2 linked regions of the Ovis aries genome follow. The protein of the gene in region 2 binds, or shares a complex with, the protein of the main gene of each other region. Links are inferred from orthologs where the notes say so. Each region holds a gene or a part of one and is shown on either strand. Other genes may lie near its edges. The genes, in order: SEMA6A and PLXNA2.

Region 1 (10,305 bases), on a different chromosome or scaffold from region 2:
CTGCATCTCCGATATTCGTAAAAGTTTGAAGTCAGAGTGTCCCTGCTGTCCACAGATTCCTTCTCTGACTTTGGCTCCTCAAGTCAAGCACGTCAGTAGTGAGAATGAATGTGTCAGGAACCCAAACATGTTTCACGTTAGTCACTGCACACTGCAAATTTTACTCCCTGTTTATTTGCATAAGACTAAACAGTTTAAATCTCTAAAGCACCAACGCTTTGCAAATAAAATGCCCGATTAAGTGCTAAATAATAATACCACCAGTAATCTCTACCTATAATTACATTCTTGCCTGGCACTCCTAGAAGGACTTTGGGGTTGTTTTTCATCAATGGTGAGAAGACATGAATTATTCATTCATCTAGGTACGCTACTCGAACCTGTGTTTGTTTCTATGGTTGTTCCTTGATTTTGATCAAATAAATTTCAGGCACTGGCTGGCCAACAGTTTGAATCAGGCTTTGAGATAGCGGGTCACTGCTCACAGAAGCACCCAGGGCAAGACACAGGTGCTTGGCAGCATCAGCGTCATACAGGGCAGAGAGAATGATTGGGCCCAGATTTTGCACATGTCAAAAGGATATGGAAAACACTCCATGTATGATTAGGAGAATTTTATGCCATCTTTAATTTCACAAAATAATTATTGAATTATTACTAAGAAAGTGAGAAATGGGGGAGGATTAGAAAGCTTATTTAAAACAGTGGCAGGATGAATTTTAAAGTATGTAGCGTGTGTGTGTATGTATTATTCACAATATTAAGTCTATAATAAGACAGTGATCCCATTTGTTTTGAAACTTCAGCGCCCCTAACATTATTTAATTTTGTAAGACTCTTTTCACATCTTGCTCTCCTAAAAGTAAGAGGTGTACACATTTACTTTAAATATTAAGAAAAATAGGATAAATTTTGAAGTATTTTATGAGGGACTTCATAATTGCTAAAGATACCGTAGGGTTTGTAATCTTCCTAATGTTAGAATCATGTGTAAAATCCTTTCTTTTTTCTTCCCTACTTTATCCCCTCCTTTTATTCCCATCTTCTGTTCATTCAACATATATTTATGGAATCCCCAATCTCAAGCCGTGAATGCTTAGTAAATAACAAATCATGCTCTCAGCTGATTGATAATTCAGTGTGGCGGCAAGCAACAACAGCAGTGATAATAATAACAACAACAACTTTTCCAAGACCATCTGGTAAAGGCAGTATATATGAAAGGCACGTGCAGAGTTCCAGGGGATGTGACTGGAACTGAGCCTTGGAGTATGCCCAGGGGCTCAGTGGGCAAGCAGATAGGTTGGGGGAGCAAACTGGGCAAGACAGCAGGGCATGAGCGGTTCAGTCAACCCTCTGCACTGGAGGAGGAGCTGACACCTGACCACGATGGGCTTCCATGCCATGCCAACAAGGGAGCTGGGCTTTATCTTCAGGGCAAGAGGAGCCCCTAAAGGATTTGAGACAGCCTGGCATGATGGAGTGGGAATGTGTGGAGAATGGGGTGGAAAGGGATGAAACCAGAGGGAGTGATCAGAGAGGGACTGTCATTTGTAGATGAAGACTGGCCTGCATACTTTTGCCATTTTCTGATCTTACTGACCAAATACAGTTTCTGAGACTGCATTAGTAGGCACTTATTGAATGTCTCCTAGGGACCTTTAAAGAAAATTCTTTAAATGGAGTATGTGTAATATTTCGGAGAAGGCAATGGCACCCCACTCCAGTACTCTTGGAATCTCCTACTTTGGTGTAATCACAAACTCATTTTCTCAAAAAACATTTAAAAAAATTTAGAAATGTGCTCTGAAATTCCATTGGCACTTACATTCCTATGTTCCAGAACAGTCTTCTTTTTCAACACTGCTAGATACATGGGTTCCAAAGTACAAGCAGTCAAGGCCTGAATTTTTACATCTTTCCTATTCTCAAGTCTCAAAATTCCTTCGGATGGTCACAACTTACTTAAACCTAACTAAATACTTGCTGCAATACAGGTTTATGTTTTCTTACGTCTTCAGTGGGGCACTCTTGACTCTTGCCCTCTGTATAACTGAGGAACGTTATTTCATCTTTCAGCTTGCTCTGTTTAGACTTGACCCAGTTCTTAGGCATTTTTTCCTAGCTGTTGTCCTCCAGTCTCATCAGGTTGGTTCCTGTCATCTAGCCTTTCATCAGGTTCTTCAAAGTCTTTGTAAAAAGTATAATCCAAAACAAGACAGTGGATTCCTAGCAGAAGATCAGAGAGAACAGGCAGAATTGTACACAGTCTAGTACGTGCACTCAATTTCTTGGCCGCCGCCGGAGTGGAGATCATTTGCACAGGACGGTGCTAGGACTCCGAGGTCTGGCAGAGCCGAGTGCCAGGAACATAGTGTCCCTCTTCCTCTATTCTTTAGTCTCCACGTGTCCACTGCTCCAGGGACAGTTTTTAGTGTGCCATTTAATAGCTCAGTGTCTTAGCTTAAATAAATACAAAATAGGAATGAATGGGCTGAGACTCAGTATTTCTCAGGACAATGTTTGATGACTTGTAAATCCTCAGTGGAGGTGGTGGTGGTGTCGCTCAGTCATGTCCAACTCTTGTGACCCCATGGACTGTAGGCCGCTAGGCTCCTCTGTCCATGGGATTTCCCAGGCAAGAATACTGGAGTGGGTTGCCATTTCTTTCTCCAAGGGATCTTCCAGGCCTAGGGGTTAAACCTGCATCTCTTGCATTGCAGTGGATTCTTTAGTACTGAACCACCAGGGAAACCTAAATCCTCAATAAACGCCCCCAGACTCAGACAATGGTGCTGTGGTTGGGATTCTGGTTCCTCTGACAGGATGATAGCCAGGTGGGATGCAAGATGGACTCATCTGCTTCCTAAATTTCACCCTGTAGCATTTTAATACATATCCAGTATTTTTCAAAAATTACTGATCTAGTCATAGAAATATTAAAAGTCAAATAAAATGTTAGGTGACCTAGAAAAGAGGAACATTCTGGAATGCCAAAGCTGCTGCTTCTATCTGTGGACTACCTGGATCAGAATATAATTGAACTTGGTTTCCTCAAGTGTAAAAAGAAGGCAACGGTATTCACTTTTCAAGATAACTAGAGGGATCGAGAAATAACACATGAATAGTATTTCTATCCCAGACATCTGAAAAGATATTGGAATAATTTATCTCATTACTTTCTCCAAAATTCTCTAACAGCACTTATACTGACAGTTCATTTGTGGATGAAAACTGAGTGTTAAGTGCTTGTTAGTTACAAATAGCGAATGGCAGTGTTTCCATCGGTTGCAAATCTTGTGTATTAGACAAGAACCCCTTGGGAAAAGGAAGCCGGGAAGGAGCGATGAAGTCCGCACCGCCAGGGCATGGTTACCTGTTATAAGGTGTGGAGAAGGTTGCCAGGACAACATCACGGCCGTGAATACGAATCACGTCGGTAACTGCCTGCAGGATGTTGAAATAAAAATGGGAGTCCCCGGGGACGGAGCAATTGAGGCGAGCCTTCAGGAAAGACGTCCACTGCTTCTCCAGCACTCTCTGAGACCCTCCCATGTCGTTCTTACAAACCTGAGCCACCCTTGGGAAAACTACCTGCAGAGGGAAAACACGGAGAAGATGAAATGCACTTACTCTTCATGGAGATCTTGGTAGAATTTACCTTTCTTAGAAAAATAAAAACAGAACAACAAGATGCTTCATTTAATCCTGTGTTTCTAAAATCAGTGGCAAAAAAAAAAAAAGGGAAAATCTCAGCATTGGAACAGCATGTTTTGAAAGATAAGGCTGTGGCATTTAATACAGAACTATAAATCCTTCAGGGGATCAGCTCCCAGGCACATACACTCATTTCCATACAGACTGCTTAGCTTTTTATTTCCTCAAACAAAAGCGTACTTTGTATGCGCCATCTCTGCCATCCTCCCTGGCTGCCTCTGGGCTCTGCCTCTCATGCTCTGAATTCCTCTAACTGTGCAAGCCACCCTGGTATTGAATTTGTGCCCTCCAACTCAGTGGTCTTGATCCACTCTCTGGTAAAAACAATCAAAATAGACATCCCCTAAGTCTTCTATTGCTTTTTGCAATGAATACAGTCAAGACCCTGGGTTTGCTTATAGGTATTGAATAGTTACTTTCTCTCTGTAGAGCAGCTTAGTTTAAAACAAATCAAAACAAACAAAAAAAAAAACTTGATGAGTAGACCTGAGACCTGGAAACCACATCTTTCTTAAGATACTTGAAACTCATCTGTTCATTAAGTTTTCAATGTATTTAAGAGGTTTCCCTGTATTCTGTTACTAATCAGAAAAAGCATATAGGGGTTCAAGGAAGCAAAATGTTTCACTTCCACCAGTCTTTGCTGGGTCTTCTCAAAATGATAACCTTGTCCTTAGATTTATGGTTTTATTTCAAAGCCATTCATAACCACATTGGCCGCACATTAAGACATCCTCCCCTCTTACCTTTCCCATGCTGTTGTACTCCACCGCTATTTCCCTGAAGAAGAAGTAGATGTAGTCTCCATAATCTACCGCTTGGACAAAATACGGTTCTGTGGACAAATGGGCACTTTAATTGGGGGCGTGTCACACAGAGTTAAAAGAACTGCAGTCAGTTGCAACCAAAGACATATTATGAAATAAAATTGTAGGGCCATTAGACATTTGGTTAACACTAACCGTTTCTAGTGACTTTACACATGCACGTGCTTAATGATTTCCAAAAGCATTTAAGCCTACAGATTTAATCTTTCAGAAGCAGTTGCAATGAACAATGAAGAATAAATGAGTTTTGCGTATCTCTGTAATTTTATTTTCTATAATACAAGGCTCATATTACAGAATAGATTTTGTACACATTGCCTTGTCAACCTTGACTCATTCGGGTTGTGAACTGCTTTTTTCCTGTCCCCCACCACCTCGAATTCCCCGTTCCCTTCTATGAATGAAGTGTTTTGTTTAGTTGGTTTCGTGTGGGACTTTGAAATGAGAGCCTGAAGCAGGAAAGATGAATGTGATGTATTCTATTATAGTGGTGTTGGTAGTTTTGATAATACTCCAGAAACTCATGGGACGTGAAAAGGGGAGGTAATAAATCAACTCGGGGCAAGAGATGCAATTTCCACCTTCCTGTCCGTGAGAAGCCATTACTAAAGTGAAACTACAATCTGGACCATTCAGACGCTAAATCTCCTTCAAGATATATATCTCCCCCACCACACCTCCTTTCTTTTTTTAATTGTTTGTTCACCTTTTAACCATTTTGAATCATGCTTGACGGTCCGTAGGGTTGGGCTGTCTCCAAGACTCCGGTAGATGACTGCATCAATGGCAAGGAAGTCTGTGACTGTAGCAGAGTACAGTTTTCCATCTTTGAAGAGAAAGAGGAGAGGAGAATAGGGTTGGAGCAAGATGGTGGGCATGGGGGAATAACAGAGACATCCCCACCTGGCTTTCCTAAATCAGGCAAATACGATAGGACAACTGGGACAAATCCAAGAGTTGTAGGAAAATACTTGACCCACATTCCTAACCATTTTAAATTGGGATCACAAGAGATGAAACATTTTTCATTTTTAAATTGCACGGCAATTTCTAAGCAGCAGCAGCTCAGGGAACAGGGTAAATGAAAAATGTTGTTTGCTTCACTCCATTAGATGGACCTTGACTGAAATCTCAAGGCCAAGGCCGCTTGGACACTCCAGCCACCACCATACCATGGTAAACTGGATTAGGTAGGAGCCCCGGGAAAGATAGAGGCTGATTGTATCACCAGAAAAATTTAAGTACAAGCAGAAGTAAGAAAGTCCGCAGCCTAAGCAAGTGAGGGACGTTGAAGAAAGAGGATTTGTAAGCAAAAAAGAACTGACTAAAATTGCTACATGTAATCATACTCCGATTAAAAAAAAAGAAAAAAAAGAAGATTGGTATATGTATCCTTTTTGAGTCTCTGCTCCTCTTTACCTCAATCAGGAGAGCCACTAAGTTCTACTGATCTAGCTTTCCATTTAAGAGATACTTGTTTCAGTATTTCCAAAGTCTCAAACTGAGAACATTCTGATATACAAAAAGCCAAAATAAAGAGGGGGAAGGGATGATGCTGAGTTCAAACTGGACTTTTCTTTAAGAATTCATGCTCTTTGAGACTTCTGCTTGAGGATACATCCAAGGCAAAAGAGAGACAAGATGATTAAAGATGAATCCTTAAAATCTGTGGTTCTTTTCTTGGATTAGCAAGCATTCTTTACACAGATAATCAAATGGGCTGTTCTGGAATAGTAAAATCTGTGTAGATGAAATGGAAACAATAATTATATTCAATATAAAAAATAGCTTCCTTGTCTCAGCTTTAATGGGTTACCTGTCTTCATTAATTGTGGTTCCCAGAGCATCTTCAGAAGTGGTTTATATACATCACAGTTCTCTTTAAGCTCTAGCCCTCGTGGGATAAGCATATGGTTCTGTTTTAAATAAACATACCAAAGCAAAGTCTTTGAGGTCTACTTTTGGTCCCTGGTGGCTCAGAGGGTAAAGTGTCTGCCTGCAATGCCAGAGACCTGGGTTCAATCCCTGGGTCAGGAAGATCCCCTGGAGAAGAAAATGGCACCCCACTCCAGTACTCTTGCCTGGAAAATCCCATGGACAGAGAAGCCTGGTAGACTACAGTCCATGGGACCGCAAAGAGTCAGACACCACTGAGCGACTTCACTTTCTTTCACTTTCACTTTCTTTGGTCTTAACTGGTATCTGCTGTTTCAGGTAGAGCTGTCTTCATATCTACATTACTAACAGTCATGTATCTGTACGTGTTGACCTTCTGGGTTAGATTTTGGCTGCAGATGGCAAACCTTTCTATTGATACACATGAGTTTGCAAAAATCACAATTTTTCTTACAGAATCATAGTTCTGGATCATATGGATATACCTGAGGAGGAGAGGACAGTGGGGTGTGTGTGTGTGTGTGTGTGAGCTGTGTGTGTGTGTGAGTGTGTGTGTGTTACTGCTGTTGAACACACCTCCATACTCTTTGTCTTACATTTTAAACTGGATATCTTGCCAGAACTTTTACTCGTAAAATAGAGTACTATTTTGTCACTTTTGGTAATACGACAACTATTCAGGGGCAACAAGTATCCTCTGTTTATAATGGTGGAAGTTTTAAGAGCTTTCAAGCATTTCAGTGGACATGGATTCAGATACACCTTCTGGGGAGGAGGAGCGGCAGCCACAAGATGGTTTCATGGGGCTTGCTCTTGGAAGGTTGGTGGCCTCGGAAAGCACTCTGCTCATTCTCCTCTTTCTACCTTGGGCTGCCTCTTTTTCCTTATTAAATTTACATTCTCCACTGCAGTCCACAACCTCCATTGCTCTATTCCTAATGCAGGTTCCACGTGTCAGAAAAGTGCTGCAGTAGAAGTTAGGCACTTAAGAATATAATCCTCAAGCACTCTTTCCAGTGGCCTTGTCCCTACCCATGCTTACAAATAGGTTTACCTGACTTACAAGGCTGCTTGCTAGGAATGCTCTACCTTTGGAGGAGCTCCTATACCAATACTTCTCCCTACACCCACCTCAGTGAGCACAGCTGGCAATGAATTCCTAAATAAATTTCTAATTATCAATAAAACACCCACACACATACACAAAAACCCCCATCTGAAAGTCATGGCTTATTTGCTTTCATTCTATATCCTTTGCAATGGAAGGAAGGAGCAGCAATGGGGAGTGTTGGTCAACCTTTGATCATCAGCAGCATCCCTTCGGGCACTATAGTTCTATCAGAGACAGGCAGGTAAGCTCATGAGGTCATGATATTTGAGAAGATGTGCTGGTAACCGAGAAAGCTTACAGAAGCTTCCTTTCGTCTCTTTCCTTCTCCCTTCTACATGTAGACAAGGGGATGTGTGTATGTGCTAAGTTGCTTCAGTCACGTCCGACTCTATGCAACCTTATGGACTGTAGCCTGCCAGGCTCCTCTGTCCAGCAGATTCTCCAGGCTGGAATACTGGAGTCAGTTGCCATGCCCTCCTCCAGGGGAACCTTCAAAACCCAGGGATCAAACCCACGGCATGTGAGTTCTTTACCACTAGTTCCACCTGAGAAGCCCAGACCAAAGGACATGTAGCCCTAATTGAGACCCAACAGCCATCCTATGACTGTGAGAACGGCCAGTCTCCCTCAGAGAAAGAAAGAAAACTGAGCAGAGAAATGAAAAGGACCTACGTCCTGGATGAGATGAATGAGTTGTTGAATCAAAGCACCTCAAAGTCTACCCCACCTTAAATACTCAGTTCACACTGGGGGTTAGAGGTGGGATTTTCTGTTACTTCAGCCCAGACGCGCCCTAACCAGTATGCAGCATGTTCAGTGCAAAGTTGTTACTCTTTCTGAAGGCAGAGAAGCATGGGTAAGCATGGCAAAGACTTGTCTTAAGAAGCGAGGAGAGGAGAAAAAAAAAAGCAAGGAGATCAAACCAGTCAATCCTAAAGGAATCTACCCTGAATATTCATTGGAAGGACTGATGCTCAAGCTGAAGCTCTAATACTTTCCCACTTGATGTGAAGAGCCAACTCATTGGAAATGACCCCGATGCTGGGAAAGATTGAAGGCAGGAGGAAAAAGGGGATGACAGAGGATGAGATGGTTGGATGGCATCACTGACTCAATGGACATGAGTTTGCGCAAACTCCAGGAGATAGTGAAGGACAGGGAAGCCTGGTGTGTTGCAGTCCATAGGTTCGCAAAGAGTCGGACACAACTGAGTGACCGAACAACAACAAAAAAACAAAAGTACAATTTCCATATGATTTCCAATGGAAAAGGCATTCCTAGTTACAGTAGTCACCAGAGAATCAAAGTACAACTGTGACTCTGCAAATCCTGCAGGGCCACAGGCTGAGCCCACGAAAACAAAGGCAATGAGGAGAAATCAGGAAATCAGGTCATTTACCTGCGAACAGTGCAGTATTGGCATGTTTGGCATCGTAAGGGCATCTGGCCATTCCGCTAAATTCATCACCCACAGGTTCCAAAGTATCCATCTAAATGAAATGATAGGACTAAGTTAGGCACAGCAACCGACAGATAATAACAGCAACTAATATTTACAGAGCACTTAACTTTTTGAGCAATTTATATGCCTGGTGCAAATAATAGTCAAATACCCTCTAAGGTTAAGTCTTTTGGTTTCAGATGGGGACGCTGACGTTGAGAGAGATTAAGTCACTTGACCAAGATTCTGTAGCTAGGAGAGTCAGAAGAATCAGTCATGTCTGCTTGACTCAGAACCATGACAATAAAGAGATTCCCATATCCTCCTGGAATGCTAGAGAAATAAGCATCTTTCTCCTTGGAAAAGGGATTTCTGAGGTATTCACCAGGAAAACATATTCCCCCATCCCCTAGAATTATCTGCTAAGTCATGAACTCTACAGAGAATGACCCCAGTTTTTGTTTTGTTTTGCCAGAGGAGTCTTGCCTTTGTGGGTTAAATTCTAGGAGAAGACCCTGGAATTCTTTCTCAGGTTACCTGCGAGAATAGTATGGCATCAGCAAGCATGAACGAAAACACAGATGCAAGCAGAGCTCAGGTGGCCTTTGCACCTACTTCAGAAACATGTCTGATCTTCAGATTATGTAGATGAGAAAGAGTGGCCCAGAAGCTGAGAGGCTCCCATGGGCCCCAGATATGAGCAGTGTGGTTGCAACTTGACTCCCATCTCCTCCTGCCCAACCCAGGCTTGTTCCTGTACCCTAGAGGTTATTACTAGCCTGCCTCTTTGGTCATCTGAGTATGTTTAGAAAAAGAAAAAGGAAAACTAACTCTCTCTTAAAAAGGCAGACTGCATATGAAAACTTGGATTTCTTGCATCTTTTGAACATGTGGGTAAGTCAATTCCGGCCCTTCTTAGCCAAGGGGCAGCAAGCTATAGTTGAGTAATGGCCACCCCTGCCATTTTCTTCAGATCGGCATATAGTCTCTAGCACCAAGACCCCTTGACCCATAGATTGTATTGACATGCTGCTTGCTTATATAGTCTCTAGCACCAAGACCCCTTGACCCATAGATTGTATTGACATGCTGCTTGCTTCACTCTTACAAGTTACCCGCCTGGCTCACAGGCATTTGCAGGTGAGGCAAAGCCTTACTAGCTGTTCAACAAATTCATTTCCCTTTCCTCCATATCACACTAAACTACATTTCCCATCCTCCCTTGCAGTCAGGTATGATCACATGACTGAGCTCTGGCCAATGGGGTGTGAGTATAAGGCTCTGCCCCACCTCTAGGTCTTGCCCCTGAAAAC
Region 2 (10,305 bases):
AGCCTAAGCTGCCAGGATTGGCCAGCATTTCTTTCTCTCTTCTCTAAGTTGTCAGATATTCTCAGACACCTGCTGCCGTTTACTTTTGTCCAGAAAGGGAGAGCCTGAAGCATGGCTTTCCTTAGGAACATCATGGCTAAAGGCAAAGAGCTTGGATTCAGAAGTCCTATGGGCCAAACCACATCCAAGCCCCTGCTGTGCCATTCTGTTGCATTGATGTTAGCAATTGAGTTTCGGGGATCTTTATTCTTCCATCTGTCAAACATCCTTGCTTTATAGGGTCATATTAAGGATAAGTGAGATAACCCTTAAGTTGGCCAGCACAGCCTTTAGGACAGAGCTGCTATTCAGTGAGTGAGGGTCCCCTTCCTTATTTCTTTTCTGGGAACAGAGCTCAAAATCTTTTATCTGAGAGTTTCCTGTGAGTCCAGAGAGCATGTTAAAATTAAGCCCTGGGACCTCTGCTTCTCTCACTCACCCTTAACCCCCTTTGAGGCCACTGGAATGCCTCTGGGTGCCCAGGTCTGGGACTCTAAGGATGGTAAGGGGACCTTCCTGTTGCCCCCCACCCACCCCAGCTATCCAGGCAGCCCCAGCAGAGTCTGATGCTCAGGGTGGGCATGGTTAGTGTGCGGCTCTTCCTTCCGAGCCCTAGCCCACCTGCTGTCCCCCGCCTTTGTGGCCCTTTGCTTACTAGCCCGGGCTTGTCTCTGCAGACAGGGGAGTCCCGCGAGGGTGTGGGCTCTTCCTCCTTCCTCTGGCTCAGAAGCAGGCAGGAATCAGCAGTTTCCTCCTGACAAGGCCCCCTCTGGGCAGTGGGAACTGGGACAGACTCTGCAAGCCGTTAACCCTTTCATTCCCTTTCCTCTTCTCTCTCTTTTTTTTTTAAGTGCTTGAGGGAATTTTATTTATTCATTTAACAAAACTGTGGTGGGCAGCCTGCTGTGCTGACTGAAGGCCATTCTTTTTTTTTCGGTTGTCAATCTGTATTTTTGTTTTATTATCTTTCAAATTTATTTTTAATTGGAGGATAATTGCTTTCAATACTGGGTTGATGTCTGCTGTACAACAACGTGAATCAGCCACAAGTATACATATATACCTGCCCTCAGGAGCATCTCTCCCCACATCCAAGTCATCGCAGGGCACTGGGCTGAGCTCCCTGGGTTATACAGCACCTTCTCACTAGCTGTCTATTTTATACATGGCAATGTATATATCTCAATGTTACTTTCTCAATTCACTGGGGCCATAGGTTATAGAGTTTCAGGGCTGTAAAGAACTTTGGAAACTATCTAGCTCAACCTCCTCATTGTATAAAGGTAAAATAACAAGAAATGAATGGTTCTTTAATTAATATATATCTGTCATTTATTAGATGCTATGTGCCAAGTATTGTACTAATACATACTTTTTCTATGTAATCCTCATAAAAACAGACTTGCTATTTCTATTGTTAAAATAAAAATACAACTCAGATCAGGTACGTAACTTGCCCAAAGTCACACGAGCGGTAGGACTGACCTTTAAACACAAATCTGTTGGAACTCCAGGCCTATGGCCTTAACTACTGTTCTACTGGACCAAGAAACTGACAGCAGAACAGAAGCATCGTCTACGTGTGATTTTTTTTTTTCTTGCTTTAAGAAGTGGCTTTTGGTCCCAGTAGCAGACACTCCCTCTTTAGGGGTTTCAAAAGGCAGCCATACGGGTCACTTGGTGTCACATTGATCCCCAGGCTGCAGATCGTGTGTCCACAGGACTTTGCACAGAAATCCATCTTAGAATTTGTCACACTGCATAACAGTTAACTAATCATGGCCAACCTAACACGCCACATCTGATCATCCCGTGAAGTAGGCATTATGAGTCCCACCTCACAGATGATCATGTAGACACACTAAGCTACTTCTGAAGCCAGGAAGTAGCACAGATGGAATCTAAACTCTGAATGCCAAACTCTTCAGCATTACATGACGCTGCTTGCTATTTTTATCTCTCACTCTCTTGCCCATTGGATTATGATACCTTGGAGAGTAACGATCATGTCTTTTTTATGTCTGCATTCCCAGTGCCTAGTACGGTGCTGGGCACTCGAGAGATCTTTGATACCCTCTGGCTGAATGGATGGATGGAGGGAGGGATAAAGGGAAGAATGGAGGGGTGGATAGATGGATGACATGACGGATGGATGGACAGACTGATGGATCGTGGTGACCACCGAGATGGCGGCCTTCTGATCCTCTCACAGGACAGGGCTCGCCACCGACCTCCTCGTCTCTTCCACCGTCAGGTCTGGACTCTGAACTCCCCTTCCTCCCCTCCTTTCCCTCTGCGGGGACGCCTGGTTCTTCTTCCCTAGCTTTCAACCTATCAGTCACGCTTGACCCCCTTTGCCCTCCTCCAGCTCCTCCAGCCTCCATACCTGCCTGCCTCCTTTACCCCTCACTGTGGCCGGCAGGGCCCTGCGTGGGCAAGACGTGGTCCCTGTTACCCCTGACCGGCCTCCTCTCCAGCCACAATTTCTGCCGCATGCCGAGGTCCAGCTGCAGTGGCCGCCTCGCTCTTCCTCACGACCGGCATTCTCTGCACTGCTGTTCCCGCCCACTCTCTCGAACGCTCTCCCCAGATACCCACACAGCTGGCTCTTCCTCATTCTTTGCTCAGATGCTGCTTTCTCAATGAAACAATCCTCTTGGGTCCTGCCTCTCCCCCATTCCCTGCTTTATTTTCTCTCTACAGCAACTGTCATCACTGGAGAGACTACCCGTTTTATGTATTTCTATGTCTTGCCTCACTAACGAAGTGAGTAAGGGGCTTTCTCTAGTGGCTCAGACGTTACAGAATCTGCCTGCAGCACGGGAGACCCAGGTTCGATCCCTGGGTTGGGAAGATCCCCTGGAGGAGGGCATGGCAACCCACTTCAGTATTCTTGCTTCCAGAATCCCCACGGACAGAGGAGCCTGGCGGGCTGCAGTCCATGGTTCGCAAAGAGTCGGACACGACTGAGCAAAAGTCGTGGACACACACCCAAAAGCTCCATGAGGGCAGGTCGTGATGTGGTAGGGTTCAAGGCTGAAGCCGGCAGCGCTTAGGACACTGGATGGGATATATGCGGAATGACTCCGCAGGATCAACAAACGTAGCTCAAGCGCATGAGCCTGCCACCTCCCTCACTGCAGGCTGCGACGGTCTGGGTTGTCCAGTAGCAAAGTCATGTCTGACTCTTTGCAACCCCACGGACGGTAGCCCTGCCAGGCTCCTCTGTCCGTGGGGTTTTGCCGGCGAGAATACTGGAGCCGGCTGCCATTTCCTCCTGCAGGGGGTCTGGGGGCAGGCGTGTCCTGAGCGGGGTGTGTGCCGGGGGCGCCCTCCTTACCGCCTTGGTGCACTGCACGTCCTTCCCCAGCAGCCAGTTGAGCTCCAGGTTGCCCTCGCCCTGGTAGCAGGACTGCAGGCGCTCCTTGATCTGCAGGTTGACTGCGCGGATGGGGAAGGCGCAGAGGGCGGAGTCATCCGGCGGCTGGTGGTACTGCTTCTGCCCTTTGGAGAAGATGGCGAAGAGCACGTCGTCCTGGCCGCTGATGTTGAAGGCCCGCGCCAGCGCGTCCCCGGGCTTGGCGAGGTAGGCGGCCTGCAGGAGGCGGTATTCCACCCCGGCCCGCGTGCAGCCGAAAGGCAGGGACACGTAGGAGTGGAACTTGGGGTCGTCCTTGCAGAGCCGCACGATGCGCGAGGTGTAGAAGAGGTCCCCGGCCGAGTTGATGGCCACGCCCTCGGGGGTCTCGGGCTGGACCGTCAGGAAGTAGACGAAGCCCCCGCTGGCGAAGCCGTAGATGTAGAAGATGTCGAAGTGGGCCACCAGGGCCAGGGTGTCGGAGGGGATCTTGATGAGCGAGGAGACGAAGTCGCTGTGCAGCTCGTAGTCGAGCATGGCGGAGGACTCGGGGTCGCGCGGCAGCTTGCGGCTGGACAGCGTGGGGAAGTAGTCCTGCTTGCCGTCCACGGCCGTGCCGATGAAGAGCTTGCCGTCCTCGCCCTCGGAGCGCACGATCACCCCGTACATCGTGCCCGTCTTGTTGACGCTGGACAGGTAGTGCTCCTTCTTGTGGGACGGCTCCACCAGGATGAAGAGGTCGTCGAGCCGCAGCAGCTTGCACACGCCCTGGTACAGGCTGCCGCAGGCCAGCAGCCGGTTCTCCGAGTAGTCGATGATGAGCAGCTTGTTGACGTTGTTGGTCAGCGTGAGCACCTCGCCGCAGGGCTGCACGATCAGCGGCGGGTAGCAGGACTTGTTGTCCTCCTCCGGGCCCGTCTTGTGAGCCACCTGGATGGTCAGGTTGCCCGTCAGCTTGTACACGCGGTTGATGGCGCCCACGTACACCGCCCCGGTCCCGCGGTGCACCGTGAGGTGGTTGAAGGTCCAGTCGCGGTTTTCCGAGTGGAAGGTGCTGAACTGGGGCGCGCTGGCCGCCCGCGGCGCCAGCAGCACGCAGACGGCCGAGAGCAGGACCACAGGCCAGCCGTCCCCGTCTGCCGCCCGCGGCCCGGGCCTCCTCTGTTCCATCCTGAGCCGGCCGAGGGCCAGGACACAGGGCCTCCGATCTCTTGCGAACTCCGCCTCCCCGGCCTGGCCCTCACATGGTTCTGCAAAACACAAGAGGCAGAGCGGTCAGACAGAAAACAAATCCCTGGAGAACCGGCTTGCTTGACCCAGGTCCCAGCGCCTGCTAGCTCTGTGAGCCTCTTCCTTCTGTATTTGGGTTTTTCTATTTTTAACATACATTCTCCCTCTTCGGGATGTTCAGGGAATCCTATTATCTATTTTGGTCTCCAGCTTTGACACTGTAAAATGCTTTTTTTTTTTTTTAAAACTTTACAAAGCATCTCTATTTCTGTCCTCTTCAGAGATCGTTTTTACCGCTCAGAGAGGTTAACAGACCGAGTCCCCGCAGCCAGTGGATCCCAGTGTGGGGACTAAGGCCAGTCTTCCCACCCAGTTGCCAGGTTCCTCCTGCTCGCTCCCAGTCCAGTGGAAAACGCTCCAGCCTGTGAAACACCAGTGGTTAGGGAGGCCCTCTCCCAGGCTCTCCCTTCCGAATCTGGTGTCCCAAATAACATTCCTTCTTATTTCAGCCGTCCACCCCCTCGCACTGCTGGTTTCCTCTTTCATGCTCCGTCCCCCACAGGGAAGGAAGGAGGGGAGCTGGTCATCTAACATTGCCTCTCACTGCCCTTCAGCCTGGTGCTCTCTAGAGAGAATCCTGCAGTGTTAGCACGGAACACTTGTTCTGAGAGTGAGCTAGGCCCGGGGCCCACGTGGGTGCTATTCAGGAGCCTAAAGAGTCCCCGGGGAAAGGGCAGACAACCACCCACCCTTCCTCTTTGGGTCGGGAGGATGTCAGCCACTGCCTCCCCGGTAAGCAGGGACCCTGTGGCCTCCTTTGCAGGTGGAGTCCAGCGTGGAGCCGGCCACCTTACTCGTGGGGACTGGCTGGCTGAGTCCAGCCTCAGCCGCCTGGGCGAGAGTTCTGGGTTTGGGAGGCATGGGGAGGAGCCAAGGGAAGTGAGTTGAAGGTCAGTCGCACGGCAGCCACTGCTAGGGCCCCGTGATGGTTTAAGGCTCCGCACGGTCAACCTCAGGCTGCCCGCCCCCGCCGGTCAGTCCCCTGCCCTGACGTCCCTGCTCCCTCCCTTCCCTCCCGAGCCCCAGGTTCTGCAGCTTTTCCTACTATTCCAGGAAAGCTTGCCCAGAGGGGCAAGGGGGGGCTCCTGCAGACCTTCAGAGAGTGGTGGGCAGGGGACAGACGGTGGAGCCTTCTCATCACTCTGCCTGCTCCTGACTTTTATGGGGGAGGTGGGGACAGTGGTGGCTCTAGCGGAGAAATCTTTTCTCCCGGCTGGACAGACTGGCCGGCAACCTTCTTGGACAAGTCCAGACAGAAGTCCGGGTAATGAGGCAGCGTGGAAAGGCTCACGCCCAGGATGGAGCACGTGCTCCAAGGCGGCCTGCTGCTGCTGCTGAGGCGCTTCAGTCGTGTCCAACTCTGCGCGACCCCACAGACAGCAGCCCACCAGGCTCCACCGTCCCTGGGATTCTCCAGGCAAGAACACTGGAGTGGGTTGCCATTTCCTTCTCCAATGCATGAAAGTGAAAAGTGAAAGTGAAGTCGCTCAGTCGTGCCCAACTCCTAGCGACCCCATGGACTGCAGTCCACCAGGCTCCTCCGTCCATGGGATTTTCCAGGCAAGAGTACTGGAGTAGGGTGCCATTGCCTTCTCTGTACCAAGGCAGCCTAGGAGAGTCCAGTTCAGTTCAGGTCAGCCGCTCAGTCGTGTCCGACTCTTTGTGACCCCATGAACTGCAGCACACCAGGCCTCCCTGTCCATCATCAACTCCCTGAGTTTACTCAAACTCATGTCCATTGAGTTGGTGATGCCATCCAACCATCTCATCCTCTGTCGTCCCCTTCTTCTCCCACCTTCAATCTTTCCCAGCATCAGGGTCCTGGATCCCTTTATTTATCCCCCACCTGGCTACATGGGGCTGGAATCTGGGATCGAATAGATGCCCTCTGCGGGATCCACGTGCTCTCTGCTCCATGTCTTTCAAAACTCCCCCTGTCCTCTGCAACTGTGCCTCCCATGCCTGACGCCCACATGGTGCCAGAGGCGGGCCCCACCTGACCGCTCGCCTCCAAGGAGGCTCCACCGGGATGCTGTTCTGGAGTGACTCATCAGGCCCCGGGCTTCCTTGGAAAGAGGAAGGCACAGCGGCATGAGGCCTGGGCTGACCTCAGGGGCTCTGACACAGCCCTTCCGGCCCCACGCGCTCACCGGCAAAGCCTCCCCGACGGACAGAGCTTTCGGTTTGAAAATCGGAGGTTATTTTTAGCTATGTCCTGGGGCCGGTAGCCGGACGTGAATTCCTCAAGAGAAGCTGCGGAAAGGAAATAACAGAATCCTCACATTCTCCATCTGGGTAGGGAGCTGCAGGAAGCTGGGCTGTGCATGCCCCTTCTCTGGGCAGGAGAGCTCGTTTGCCTACAGGTGGAGGGCAGTGTGTCCCCCTCCGCCTCCCGCCAGAGGATTATAGTTGCCATCATGATGCACTTGGGGTTTGGCCTTCTGGGCAGGGATTTCTGAGACACTCTGGCATTGAGTGTGCAGGCAGAGAACTCCTGCCTGCCCCACAACTTACATGCACAGACATGCTTAGCCCATGGAGGGGGGAGACGGTCCCAGGAGCAGAGGTGACGCCAGAGGACACCAAGTGAGGTTAAGATGAACTGTCTCACTGCCCTGCCAGGCATCCTCCAGAGACATGGTTTGAAGTGTGAATGGCTTCTGTTGTCAGGCAGAATTCAGGAAGAAATGTGGGACCTTGGGCAAGTCCAGTCTCATCCTCCTTTCTGGTAGGATGGGATAATGACGGTACCGACCCCTCGGGTTGTCATCAGAGTAAATGAGATAATGCGGGGAAGCCTCTTAGCATGGGAGCTGGCACTCAGTGAATGCTTAACTCATACCAGTTATTATTATCATTGAAGCCTCCCCAAGAGGCTGTGCTTTAGGAATGTTGCCAGACCTCCTGACTTCTCTTTTCACTCATATTCTTCCTTTCCATGGGAATGAACGCTGCGGGCAGCCCATTGAGCCCCAGCCCTCCCTGGAGTGGTGAAGGCGTGCATCAGAGAAAAGGGAACAGATTGAAGGTGATCGTCTCCGGCACACTACTGCACAAGTCCCAGCACGGCTCTCTGCAGCCTGCAGGGAGCCTGGTGGAGGTACAGGATCCCAAGAGTTGAAGTGTGAGTGGGAAAACTGGCCTGGTGTCCAGAAGGCAAGGAGTCCTAGGGAAGGGGGCAGAGTGGGGAACTCAGAGAGACCTGTGTCCAAATCCTGCCTCTGTCAACATGAGTTGTGTGGCTTTAGGCTGCTCCAGTGTCACCCCGAGCCTACTTCTTAACCAATAAAGGATGTTATTTGATCTTAAAGAATGCTATTAAAACAAAGGATGTCATAACCAGTTGGTAAGATTTCGTCCTTCAGACAAAATGGTATCTTGAGACTTGCTTCTTTCAGCTTCTAGAGTCAATAACTGCAATAACAGCTGAGGTCCTTCTGTCCTGCCTGGCAGGGCTGGTTAAATCTAGAGGTCTCAACAGACCAGTAATTGTACTGTTTTCCCCTTCCTTCTCAATCAGCGTCTACTCTGGGACAGACTACTCCCGGGGACCAGCCACACAGATTCCTTCCACGGGACTCAAGGGTAGTCCACGTAGGAGCCACAGGCACTGGGGCCTCAGGGTCAAGAGGAGACGGGGTCCCCTGCAGTGCAGGGGTGGAGGGACACTTGCATCTCACCTTGGAATTCACAAGGACAAACTGGCTTCAAGAGTGAGTCGAGAGCCCCAGTCTTTCAATGCCAAGGCTGACATTACCAGGTAGCTCTTCCAAAGAAGGGTCTGGTTGGCAAGGTCTGGTCTGGTTGGTCCTGTCTGAGTTCAGGGTAAGGGAGAAGGGTACCCACCTCTATGCCTCGATGAAATGCCACGTAGTGTGATGGAGAGACTCATAAGCTCTGGATTTAGGTGCTTGGATTCAAACAGAGGTGATAGCTGTGTAAACTTGGTCAAGGTACACAGCTGTTCTCTGATGCTGTCTCACTAGATGTAATGAGGTTGGCACTAGCTTCTGCCTCATAGGGTTATGATGGTGAAGTCATTTAATTCACATAAAGAACTTAGAACAACGCTTGGCCCATTATAAATGTTCAAGACACCTTAGCCTTATCAGTAGTAATCTATCTCTCAATATCCCCAGCCTTTCATCTCTGTCCATCCCATGGTCTGTCTTAGAATAAAACATCCATCCTTGTATTTGGTAGGAGCCAGTGAACATACGCATGTGGCTTTGTAGAGCTAGGATTTCCTCCTCACCCCAAGTGTCACCCGCGGGGATTTTCTCCACGATGCCTCCTTCCTGCCCCTCTTCCTCTCTCTGTCTAGTTTGTGAAGTCGCCGTGCCACGTGCGTTCTCAAGAGCCACACCTGCTGAGTGGCCGTTCTCCTACCAGCTTCCCTGTCCCCCGTCCCAAGTCTCAAATGAGGACACGCCGCCCTGGGATGCCGGCTCGACCCGCAGAGCGCTCGGAGCACTGATGCCAAGGGGAGGCCACACTCGCCTCTTTGGGAAGCAAGAGTCACTAAATATTTCATTTCGAGGGCCTGGTGAAACCATCTCCCTGATGAGGCCTCAGGAAGCAGGTGTTGGTGTCAGCTAGAGGAGGCACCTAATACCTTCCCGATCAGATGCTGCAGACACCAGGGGCAAAGCAGGGGCGAGACGACAAGCATTTCCAGCTCAGCTCAGCGAAGGATTCCCTCCTCCCCACAACCCGTTCTGTTGCCTTTTTCGGGATATCTGGGAGCACAAACCTCTATGCTTTATTGGCCTCCCTTATTGCAAAAGGAAAGAAGAGGAGGCAGGAAGAGGAGTTAGCACTGGAATACAATTTTGCTAAACTGAGTGAAAGTTCTTGATGCCAGAGCTCCCACCCGTGGGCCCATCTGCAGCTCCTCCTGGCACCGTCATCACCAACATCATCCAGGCTATATTTCTCATCACAATAACAGTAAAGGTGTCTATTATTATAACTGCACCAACTAGGTGGCTCACACAGCCAGGATCCTGAGAAGCCAGAATCCAGACAGTAAGTATGAGGAGGGGGGCTGGGCGCTATTTACAACAGGCAAGATCTGGAAGCAACTACAGTGTCCATCCACAGAGGAATGGATAAAGAAGATACGGTGCACATATACAACGGAGTATTACTCAGTCATAAAAAAACTGAAAGATTGCCATTCGCGGCAACGTGGGTGGACCTAGAGAATATCATACCAAGTGAAGTAAGACAGAGAAAGACAAATATTATAATGATATCACATATGTGGAATCTAAAAAATAATACAAATGAATCCATATACAAAACAGATGCAGACTCAGACATAGAAAGCAAATTTATGGCTACTAAAGGGAAAAAGAAGGGGGCAGGGATAATTTAGGGGTATAGGATTAACAGATACTACAATATATAAAATAGGATTTACTGTAATATACAGGGTGCAATATTCAATATCTTATAATAACCTATAATGGAAAAGAATCTGAAAAAACATATATATATATATAACTGAATCACTCTGCGGTACCCCTGAAACTAACACAATATTAGCTATAATTAAATCAACTGTACGTCAATAAAACAAAACGCACAAGGAAGCCTAGTGTGCTGCAGTCCAT

Evidence for each region.
Region 1: the proteins of PLXNA2 (region 2) and SEMA6A are in contact, whole or in part, in a crystal structure (PDB 3AL8), measured with the Mus musculus proteins. The link is inferred for Ovis aries from reciprocal best matches to the Homo sapiens genes PLXNA2 and SEMA6A. Residues at the interface, in NP_032908.2 of Mus musculus: Ala93, Cys94, Tyr95, Pro96, Lys155, Gln192, Asp193, Tyr194, Asp220, Phe221, Val222, Pro229, Ser230, Asp231, Leu386, Lys389, Val391, Thr394, Lys395, Ala396, Pro397, Val398, Leu407, Asp408, Ile409, Asn410, Gln411; in NP_061214.2 of Mus musculus: Arg108, Met109, Lys110, Gly111, Met162, Ala163, Thr188, Phe190, Leu191, Ile193, Tyr198, Thr206, Arg208, His212, Asp213, Ser214, Glu219, Gln266, Arg267, Glu270, Lys271, Lys393.

What each region holds. Positions count from the first base shown.
Region 1 is NC_056058.1:35,110,798-35,121,102, reverse strand, and holds part of SEMA6A (semaphorin-6A), read right to left. Parts: intron 9,042-10,305; coding exon 8,951-9,041; intron 5,371-8,950; coding exon 5,251-5,370; intron 4,553-5,250; coding exon 4,464-4,552; intron 3,595-4,463; coding exon 3,377-3,594; intron 1-3,376. UniProt on the Homo sapiens protein: Cell surface receptor for PLXNA2 that plays an important role in cell-cell signaling. Required for normal granule cell migration in the developing cerebellum.
Region 2 is NC_056065.1:74,571,972-74,582,276, reverse strand, and holds part of PLXNA2 (plexin-A2), read right to left. Parts: intron 4,648-10,305; 5' UTR 4,568-4,647; coding exon 3,380-4,567; intron 1-3,379. UniProt on the Homo sapiens protein: Coreceptor for SEMA3A and SEMA6A. Necessary for signaling by SEMA6A and class 3 semaphorins and subsequent remodeling of the cytoskeleton. Plays a role in axon guidance, invasive growth and cell migration.